Xenopus tropicalis: one gene and its partners. The protein of the gene in region 1 interacts with the protein of each later gene in a pairwise test. Links are inferred from orthologs where the notes say so. Each region holds a gene or a part of one and is shown on either strand. Other genes may lie near its edges. The genes, in order: pias4, satb1 and smad7.

Region 1 (3,658 bases):
GATTTCAGCATACTGAAATGGTATTGAACTTTAAGTCACCCTTATGTGGGCTTTCACTCCCCCCACATGGCATGGCTCTCTTCGGCCAGGGCATCGCAGGTTGTGAGACCTTTACACATGGATGGTTCCAGACCCTAGAGAACAGAGGCCTGTTAAATATCTGTTACTGGTACATGCAGGGAGATTTTTTGGATACCTTGGCCTGCTTTATTAACTCTTACAGGCCTGTATAACATTCATTTATTCATACTTTTTGAAGGAACAGATTACAGTGAGATATATTAGGGGTTTCTGCCTCGTGTTTGGGTAACAAATTTTGGTTCAGAAGCTGGAGTTCCCCTAAAGAAATAATTGAACTGCATCTTTATGACTGCTATAATTGATTGTAACCAGTCAATTAAGGCATATTTTTTCCCAAAAGTGAACATTTTTATCCAATCAAGCCATGTTTATTTTTTTTTTCTTTGAAATACAGTTTTTATATATCAGCAATAAATGTATGGCTTTGAAGCTACTCCTTCTTTGAGAGGCTAATGATACCCCAGCATATCCTTTTATACCCCAGATATCCTTTGAGAGGCTGATGATACCCCAGCATAATGGACTTCTGTTTCTGTGCACTGGTAATTGAATAACTCGCAAGGAAGTAGCTTCAGTTTACGTTTTTAGATCAAGAAACAAAAACCTATGAATCAATAGTTTGTTGACCCCACTATCAAATTCCACTCCTAGTCAAGTGCAGAATAATATATAATACATAAGGTATAATACATTGGTGTTTTTTTTTTTTTTTACTATGGTAGTCAGCTTGTATATAGAAGTCTCATTTAAGATAGTTACTTTAAAGGTTTAACTAATACAAAAATATGTATCACTTACCCAGCTCAGTTGGCTTTAAGAGTTCATCCACCACATCATAGAAAGGCAACTTGACCAATCGCACCTCAGGCTTGGTAATAACTTTTGGAGGCAACCTTGAGAGCCCATTAACATGTTTCCCATACAAAGATGGGTAGTCTATATTAGGTGTAGAAAGAGAAGTCCTGGGTCCAGAGACTCCGTGGTCATAGGATGGGTGAATAGACAAAGACTCAGGTGCACGATGTGATGTGATAGGCTGGGGTGGAGCTTGGGAGATTGCCTCTGTGCCTTTCTTTGCGTAGCGAGTTTCATAAAGCTCTTTAATTTTCTTGAAAACCTCTGGGCTGCAATCAAACTGTACCAGCTGTAGAGCCCGTGTGACCAGTTCATGTTTCAAGCCACTTTTACTGCGCCCAACAAATCCCAGGAGCATTTGCAAATCTGACACTCGAAAACTCATTACCATGTTCTGAAAAAGAGAAAGCAATTTCAAATTGGTACCCACACTAAAAGCGTTATACCAAATAATCACCGATAACATAATTTTGGTGGTAAATTAAATGGGCAGTACGCAAAACAAAGCAAAGCATGGCAAACAGGGAAAATGCAGCTACTCTGATACTTGGGAGGTAAATAATTAGATTACCAGTATAACCCGCCTCCTTTTAGTACAAATACAGGCAGGGAGATTTAGTCACCTAGATCAGTGCTGTCCAACTTCTGTGGTACCGAGGGCCGGAATTTTTCCGACCTACGTGGTAGAGGGCCGATAATGGAAGCCAGTTTTGACCACTCCCCTTTTTGAAACCGCACCCACTTGAAACCACACCTATGTTATCACATGACCATACCCATATTAATGGTTGTAGTACAGCAAATACCTGCCATACTCTGCCTTCCCTACCCTGCCTGTGTGTGCCATACTCTGCCTTCCCTACCCTGCCTGTGTCTGCCATACTCTGCCTTCCCTACCCTGCCTGTGTGTGCCATACTCTGCCTGCCCTACCCTGCCTGCGCCATACTCTGCCTTCCCTACCCTGCCTGTGTGTGCCATACTCTGCCTTCCCTACCCTGCCTGCGTGTGCCATACTCTGCCTTCCCTACCCTGCCTGTGTGTGCCATACTCTGCCTTCCCTACCCTGCCTGTGTGTGCCATACTCTGCCTTCCCTACCCTGCATGTGTGTGCCATACTCTCTCTGCCCTGTATGGCACACACAGGCAGCATACAGTGACACAATGTTGGCACTGCTCCTACAGTCTGCACAATAACTATATATTAAAAAAAAACAAAAAAACTTTTTAATTGCAGTACCACCTCAGTTCTTTTTCTAGTGTGCAGGGTTTATTTGTGGGTTTCTACTGTTGTCTGAGGTGTGAACAGGTAAACAATGTGGGTGATTACAGCCTGAGCCTGAGGTGTGAACACTGCAGGTATTAAAAGGTGTGAACAACACAGTGGATTACATTTTTAAACAATACAGAGGGATTACAGCCTGAATCTGAGGTGTGAGCCATACAGGGGGGGGGGGCAGTTAATCACAGTACTGATACCATTTAAAGCTTACATAAGAGTAAGCCATCAAAGCAGCCAGGCAGGTGGGGGGCCACACAGAGGGGGGTCGCGGGCCGCCAGTTGGACAGCACTGACCTAGATAATAAAAATCCAGTTGCGGCAACTAATCGCCACTGCGACTTGTACTGTTAGTGAATTACGGATGCACCAACTTGTGTATATTTTAAAGGAAATATTGTCACCATGACTGTATTTTTAGACATAGCAACTGCAGGTTTTAAAAGAAACGCAAACTAATCGCCTTGTCTGTTTTCACCCTCCGTGTTGTTCACCCTCCGTTGTTTGTTAGCAGGCATTCATCTAATTATATACTTTTCAAGGACCAAACAAGTAGCTTCGATCTGACTGTTTAGCTCAAGAAAAACCATAATTTTTTCCACATAAAATCAAAAGCATATGGTACAGCCACCCCTTTTCATAAGTTAAAAACACAAAACCAAGCTAGAGCCACACTGCCTACTTGTAGGTGGCTATGGTCCCCTTCATGGAGCACAAAAAGCAAGTTTCTAGTTATAAGAAACAGTTACATTTGATCAGCGCATTCCAAGAAGATACTTTTATTGATATATTTATAATCTGTACAGTGCTAAAATAGATATGATTCTATATCAAGTCAGCTTAGATACATTTTGGAATTTAGTGTCACAGAAACAACAAATATTAACAGTGCTTGGTGCTTCTCAGGCAACTAATACTACACACAGCATTTTTAGAATGAAAAAGACCAGTAATTGTACTGCTGGCATTTTAGATAAGAGTGACTCTGCGCCTTCAGCCCAATAGAGAGAAAATCTTAGGGCTAAGACACACAGAGCAATTAGTCACCACGACTTTTTAATAAGTCAAGCAATTAGTCGCAGTGGCTGCAATAATACTCTACAACAAGCAGTCGCTGTGACCATGTTTTTAAAAAGTTGCGGCGACTAATCGCTGCATGTCTGCGCCCTTAAAGACCACCACCAGAAACAATCAGGGATGCAGCCAAAAAACTTCACTCTAATGCCTACTGCAGGAGGTAGTTAATGACTCACTATAGCCAATAAAAGTAACTGACTTGATGGCAAAGCTGGTATACTGCCTCCATTAGGGGAAGGAAGGAATCTGCCAAATTAAACAAAATTTTACACATGTTCCACCATTTATTTCAAATAATTTATGCAAAACTAGTTCAGCGATACCTAAGATATGGTACAATGCTAGAATACACAAAAGGCAGTTTATAT
Region 2 (3,250 bases), on another chromosome or scaffold:
TACTACAGTGTATCAAATGGGGTGAAAAGCTTATACTGCAAAGTATCTTATATATCTGCAAAGTATATAAATTCTATGCTCAGAATAGAAGCTGCACTCATAACATGGGATACTGTACTGTAACAAATATGAATTAGCTTAGCATAACTAAACTCATTTAGTTGGGCTGTATAAAAAGTGCTCAATCTAAACTTAAACATATAAATATAAATGTATTTTTGATTTACAGAAACATAGCTGATTCCACAGATTAAAGGACACAGTGATAACTCCATAGAGCTGTTTCCCAAGATCCCTTAATACTGACATTGTAATGCACTCACTTTGTTCCATTGTAAACTGATAGATTCTGGGACTGGAAGTCTCTCTGCTTACCATAGTGGGTGGTGCACAGACTCTCTAGAAAGCAGAGCGACTTTAGGCCCCAGAATTCAGCAAGATAAGGGTGAGGTTTGCATTACAGTCAGAGAGGGGTGAGAAACTGGAAAACACACAGACACAAGCTTTTATGGTTTCCTATAATCTGTGGAATTGGGTATGTCTGTAAAAATAAAATACATTTATATTTATTATATCTTATAATTTATATCTGGAAGTTCAAATAATGTTTAAGAATAAAACCATGTAATATAAGAACATAACCATTTCAAACTTCTGTTTTACCTACCTGAATCTGTTCTGCAGAAACATGGATCACATGAGATGGCCTTTCACTGTGCTGATGAACCGCATTGCTCTCTTGCTCATAAATCACATCTCTTTCTGTTTGGGGAAGACTTAGGAACCTTCGAATCATTGAAAGGTTCTCCCACAGAGTCCTGTTTTCCGGTGAAGGGTCTTCTTTCCATCGTAATAGTTCACACAGCCAGCCCTAAAAATAAAAAAAATAAAAAAGGAATGTTACTATGACTGGTAATCATATGCCAACATATATTTATCAGTACTGCTGTTCAGCAGTGACCCAGATATTTGAACCATCTACGCATTTGAATTTTACATAAACAGCATTCTATATAGTAACAGACATTAAAGGAAAATATATGTTACATCGGATTGGGTTACCCTCCATATAGTTCCCCAGCAGGAGTTTTCTGTTCAAGCCCCCTTGGAGGTCCAACCTTTGTTGAAAGAACATCCTCAGCTAGCACATAACAAAGTTACATATTTTTAGTGTATCAGCATTTTAACAACTATAAGTCTCACACCGGCTAAAATATATCTAACTCTATGTTTCTCAACACACACACACACTGGCGTTCTCATTTCTTCTCCATGAATGGTATATACAGGTATCGGTTCCCTTATCCAGAAACCCATTATCCAGAAAGTTCCAAATTACAGAAAGGCCATCTCTCATAGACTCCATTTTAATCAAATAATTCACATTTTTAAAAATGGTTTCCTTTTTCTCTGTAATAATAAAACAGTCCCTTGTACTTAATCCCAACTAAGATATAATTAATCCTTATTGGAGCCATTGGGTCAAATTACTGTTAAAATAATTGTTTTAGTAAACAAAGTAGGCGATCCAAATTACGCAAAGATCTATTATCCAGAAAACCCCAGGTCCTGAGCATTCTGAATAATGGGTCCCATTCCTGTACTTTACAGAGAACATTTTATTATTCGAATGCACCCCTTCCCAGCCCCCCCAGTAGTTGTCCTGTGTATTTTGTAATCATAGAAGGTCCCACATAAACATTACAAAGCATACAAACCCTTTATAGATAGCTTACTGGTTCAAGCTCAGCATCAGAGCCGGGCTGGCCCACTGGGACCAGGAAAAATCCTGGTGGCCCAATCCTCTTCGGCCCTGACATGTATATGTTAAGATTCATGAACATTAGAAATGGCCATACCTGACCATCTTTCCATTTTTCCCCTGATTGGCAGCCAAGTAAGCAAGTAGTGGAGTTGGAGTGGGGCAGACAGGGGGTGGCGGTGCCCAAGTGGTGGGCACTGGGTACCCCAATCTGACCCAGCATCTCAACACTGCATGGCAGCAATGTTTACTACTGTGTACATACTGTATCTATCATACACACTGTTGACTTGAGAGTCTTTTTAACATTAATGCCAAGTAACTGCATGTCAATCACTTGGATTTGGCCAAGCGGTTTGAGAACTGCCAGATTTCCCTTATTTCAATGATAGAAACAAATATAGAGTCTGCTCTGTCAGAGAACCAATTTTAAGACTAATTTTTTAATGGGCGTATTAGGAAAAATCTAGAGAATTCAGCTAATCCTCCATTTAAAAGATGAAAAGGTGACAGTCCAAATGAAACAATGTACTTTGATACTTGTTGATACGTGTAACAAATGGCAGATGGTGAAGGTGCAATGTCTACATTATTTTTAGACAACAAAAATTGCTATAAGAAGGCACGAAAGCCAAGTAAATTATTTGAACTTCAGGATGTTGCTGATTTTGAACTGTCAGAGTTTTATTTGACACCTTCTGTTCTAAATGCTGTTGCTATTCAAAATTCTGCCTTTAGTCCATGCCAGTAACCTTGCCCTCCCTTTAGTTTAATTGGTGGAATGAGATGCATAGAAACTGAAAATGCCATGCAGATGAATGCTGGGCTGTGTTCAAACCTGCTGTATACAACACAAATCCTGTAAAGTTATGTATTGTAAAGGGAAATTTATTGAGAAATAAAGGTCTTAAATCCATCTGCCACACAAGAATTATTATTATGCACTGCGTTAGAAACAAGTGCCATCTGCAAATGTCTTGCAACAGTAAGCAAGGAAATGCTTAACAATTCAATTCTCTTATTTAATATATAGAAGGCAAAAGATACTCAAAGATAAAAATCACAAATGCCCACAAATGCGGAATAAAAATTCAGGTTTGGCCTGTGAAAATAAAAGGCTTGAATGTTTAAAAAAAATAAATAAAATATATATATATATATATATATATACTAAAGAATACAGTATAAACAATAGTATACAAACATTTCCCATCATACATAAAATAATTGTGTAACTGGGAAACACGCATTATATCAAATGCTGGCCCTGTCACGCAGGTTCTGGTTATCCAGAATGGTCAGGACCTCGGGGTTTCTGGATAAGGGATCTTTCTGTAATTTAGACCTCCTTACCATAAGCCTACTAAAAAAAAATTATTTAAAAGTTAAATTAACCCAATAGGATCCCAATTATATCTTAGTTTGGATTAAGTACAAGGTATTGTTTTATTATGACAAAGAAATTGTTCTTCAATTTTTTGATTAAAA
Region 3 (3,658 bases), about 110 Mb from region 1:
CAGTTTGGGAATACTTCCTACTGTATGAGCAGCACATATACAGAACATTCCTTCTCTGTGTACTGGCATTTAACCCTACGAGTAGGGGCTGCCATATTGTTTTGCACTGTTAGTAGTTTCGGTCTTATTTTTTTTTTTTTTTTTAAATATATATATTTGGTGGTACATCTCTGGGCATGAAGGGGTTAGCAGAGAGGCAGCACATAGCCTGCAATTTATCTGAGGCAGGCAATTACCATAATCTGAAAACTTCTCCTTACTGACGTCTGTCTGAAAATTGCTGGGTGTACAGGCGGGCCCTGGAGATGAAAGGCAAAAATGCAGGCTTAAGGATTTTCTTTCACGCAATAGGGTGCCTACAGCCTCGCTTTTATAGACATTTCCTGACCTTTTTTTTTTTTTTTACTTTTTTTTTTTGCATTTCGCTCAGAATGCATTTATTTTGTTTGCAGCCGATTGTGCTTTCCAAGAAATGCCATCTTTCCCCTTCCAGCCTGGCATGTACGGGCATTACCAGGGCTGGCGTGCCTTAGTGTGCGGTTCCAGTACAGGCATGATGGGAATTTAGATTTTTGGTTATGAAGCGCCTATAGGTTTTTGTTAATAATCACTTTATTAATGGCTTTTTTTGGGGGGGGGGTTGAAGCACACCCCCCCCTTTACTTATAAATTCCTTTCTCCATAGAAGTACTGTAGTTTCAAAAGGTTAGGTTAAAGGTAACCTGATCCGATTGCACCAACAAAAACCCTCCCTAAACACTCTCCTCCACCGCTCCCTCCTTTGCACCCCTCCCCACAAATTTTTTTTTTCTTTCCCTCTTTCACCGCTCGCTGCGTTTTAGTGCCAGGTTTCAGTGGGATAAAGATATTTGAAACAAAGTATTGTGAGGCACCGAGAAGGGGGCTGTGCGAGGCGACCAGGCACACCTAAGCGCCTCTGAATTCCTTCTGCTTAGGAATATTTGCACCCCCCCCCCCGCCCATTACTGTTCTGCTACCCCTCAAAAACAAATCAAACAACAAAAAAACTAATCAAGGCAGATTAACTTGCTTTAAATCTCCCCAAAATTTCAGATATTGCGATGTAGGTGGGCATTCCATAAAGGCCTGGGTGCACTAAGGAAGGACAAAATGCAAGAGTAACACCGTGTATACAGAAGCAAGATGGTGGCAGCAACTGTTGCTATTGCTGCTGCAGACCTATAGGCCCCTTGGCAGTATTTTTGATAGTGGGGCGCTGCAGTGCTTGTTTTGCCCCCGGGCCCTACTAAAATACTAAAGGCCTCCCTGCACTGAGCCGATTTCTCTCTCTCGCCGCTGGGAGGAAACTTGCAGGGAAAAGCTGAGTGCACTTTTGCTAACAAATACAAGACTTCCGGTCTCCACCCTGCACACCGCAAACCACAGACTTAATAGGCTCGGTTAAATCTATAATTCATCTGACGTCTGAGTTATACCTTTTTATTACCGAGGCTCCAGCAAGAAGCGTTAAAGGCTCTGTGTAAACCATACAGCAGATAATATGCTGCCTTTCATTCGGCCCCCTCTAAAAAAAGCTGGAGGCCCAAATAGCAGCATGTATTAGGCTGGCAATTAAAATTAAAAAAAGGAACCAGGGTTGTATGGCTCAGCAGCTATTAATGTGCGCCGGGCAGATATCTCTGAGTTTTAACACATTTTCTGTGGCAAAACATGTTGAAGCTTATTGTGTGCCCAGAACATTCCTTCTCTGTATATTTGTATTTATACATATGGGTAGGGTGCCATAGTGTTTCTCTTAGACAGTACAGTATGGGGGTACAGCTTATTGTGTGCCCAGAACATTCCTTCTCTGTATATTTGTATTTATACATATGGGTAGGGGGTGCCATAGTGTTTCCCTTAGACAGTACAGTATGGGGGGTACAGCTTATTGTGTGCCCAGAACATTCCTTCTCTGTATATTTGTATTTATACATATGGGTAGGAGGTGCCATATTGTTTCCCTTAGACAGTACAGTATGGGGGTACAGCTTATTGTGTGCCCAGAACATTCCTTCTCTGTATATTTGTATTTATACATATGGGTAGGAGGTGCCATAGTGTTTCTCTTAGACAGTACAGTATGGGGGTACAGCTTATTGTGTGCCCAGAACATTCCTTCTCTGTATATTTGTATTTATACATATGGGTAGGGGGTGCCATAGTGTTTCCCTTAGACAGTACAGTATGGGGGGTACAGCTTATTGTGTGCCCAGAACATTCCTTCTCTGTATATTTGTATTTATACATATGGGTAGGAGGTGCCATATTGTTTCCCTTAGACAGTACAGTATGGGGGTACAGCTTATTGTGTGCCCAGAACATTCCTTCTCTGTATATTTGTATTTATACTTGTGGGAGCCCAGTATAATAACCCAGCTGCCATCTGTATACACGGAATATTTACTATAATGATACAGTGATTTTTGTTGTATCCTGATTTTAATCCTTTCCCCTTTTTTTGTCAGCAGATTCCCAACTTCTTCACGAGACTGGGGACCCGTCCCACTGGTGCGTGGTGGCGTATTGGGAAGAGAAAACGAGGGTGGGTCGCTTATACTCTGTCCAAGAGCCCTCCCTGGATATCTTCTATGATCTACCTCAAGGGAACGGCTTCTGCCTTGGGCAGTTGAACTCGGACAATAAAAGTCAGTTGGTGCAGAAGGTCCGCAGCAAAATCGGATACGGGATCCAGCTGACCAAGGAGGTCGACGGCGTGTGGGTCTATAACCGCAGCAGTTACCCCATCTTCATCAAGTCTGCCACACTGGACAACCCGGACTCTAGGACGTTATTGGTCCACAAAGTGTTCCCTGGATTTTCCATCAAAGCGTTTGACTACGAGAAGGCTTACAGTTTGCAGAGACCCAATGACCACGAGTTCATGCAGCAACCATGGACCGGATTTACTGTACAGATAAGCTTTGTCAAAGGCTGGGGCCAATGTTACACGAGACAGTTCATCAGCAGTTGCCCGTGCTGGCTGGAGGTGATATTCAATAACCGGTGACTCGGAGACGAGCGGACATCTGGACTCTCAACTACTTTGCTGCTAATATTTCCTCCTGAGTGCTTGCTTCTTCATGCGGACTCGCTCTTTCTTTGTTTTTACGTCATTTTTTTTTTTTGTTGTTGTCGTCGTTCGTTTTGAGAAATAGCTTATGTCAAGAATGACCTTTTCCCTGTTCTATTCTTTACCCGAGTGAATGACTTCCGGCCAAGCTTGCCCCCGGGTAGGGGATGGGTGTTTGGGCAACGCGTGGAGTGTGCTTGTAATGTTTTTTTTGGGGGGGGGGGGAAATCGACCGCTTTCTTGTGCAATGAGTAGACAATATTTTTGTGGGGGAGGGGGCCGAGTGATGCAGAATTAAGTTCAGTATTTTGTCATTTTATTTTTGCATATGGGTGACCACTGCTTACACCTCACGTCTCTTCGTTTCTGCCCGGCACGCTTTATGGGGTATGAAGTGGGCGACTTTAGAGCAACATCTAAGGTGCTTTTATTGGTTAGTTGCAGGGATAAATGGATGCTGATGTTGTTGCTTAGCAACAGCAGTGACAGTGATAATAATAAAGGCACCTTAGGCTGCTCCGCTACTGTTCCTGCTATCCTATAGCCAAACAAGCACTGCAGACT

Evidence for each region.
Region 2: the proteins of pias4 (region 1) and satb1 interact in a two-hybrid assay, tested with the Homo sapiens proteins (2 studies listed by BioGRID and IntAct). The link is inferred for Xenopus tropicalis from reciprocal best matches to the Homo sapiens genes PIAS4 and SATB1.
Region 3: the proteins of pias4 (region 1) and smad7 interact in a two-hybrid assay, tested with the Homo sapiens proteins (2 studies listed by BioGRID and IntAct). The link is inferred for Xenopus tropicalis from reciprocal best matches to the Homo sapiens genes PIAS4 and SMAD7.

Annotation. Positions count from the first base shown.
Region 1 is NC_030677.2:93,068,765-93,072,422, forward strand, and holds part of pias4 (E3 SUMO-protein ligase PIAS4), read right to left. Parts: intron 1,331-3,658; coding exon 880-1,330; intron 1-879.
Region 2 is NC_030682.2:45,021,789-45,025,038, forward strand, and holds part of satb1 (DNA-binding protein SATB1), read right to left. Parts: intron 872-3,250; coding exon 668-871; intron 1-667. UniProt on the Homo sapiens protein: Crucial silencing factor contributing to the initiation of X inactivation mediated by Xist RNA that occurs during embryogenesis and in lymphoma.
Region 3 is NC_030677.2:205,572,851-205,576,508, reverse strand, and holds part of smad7 (mothers against decapentaplegic homolog 7), read left to right. Parts: intron 1-2,489; coding exon 2,490-3,031; 3' UTR 3,032-3,658. UniProt on the Homo sapiens protein: Antagonist of signaling by TGF-beta (transforming growth factor) type 1 receptor superfamily members; has been shown to inhibit TGF-beta (Transforming growth factor) and activin signaling by associating with their receptors thus preventing SMAD2 access.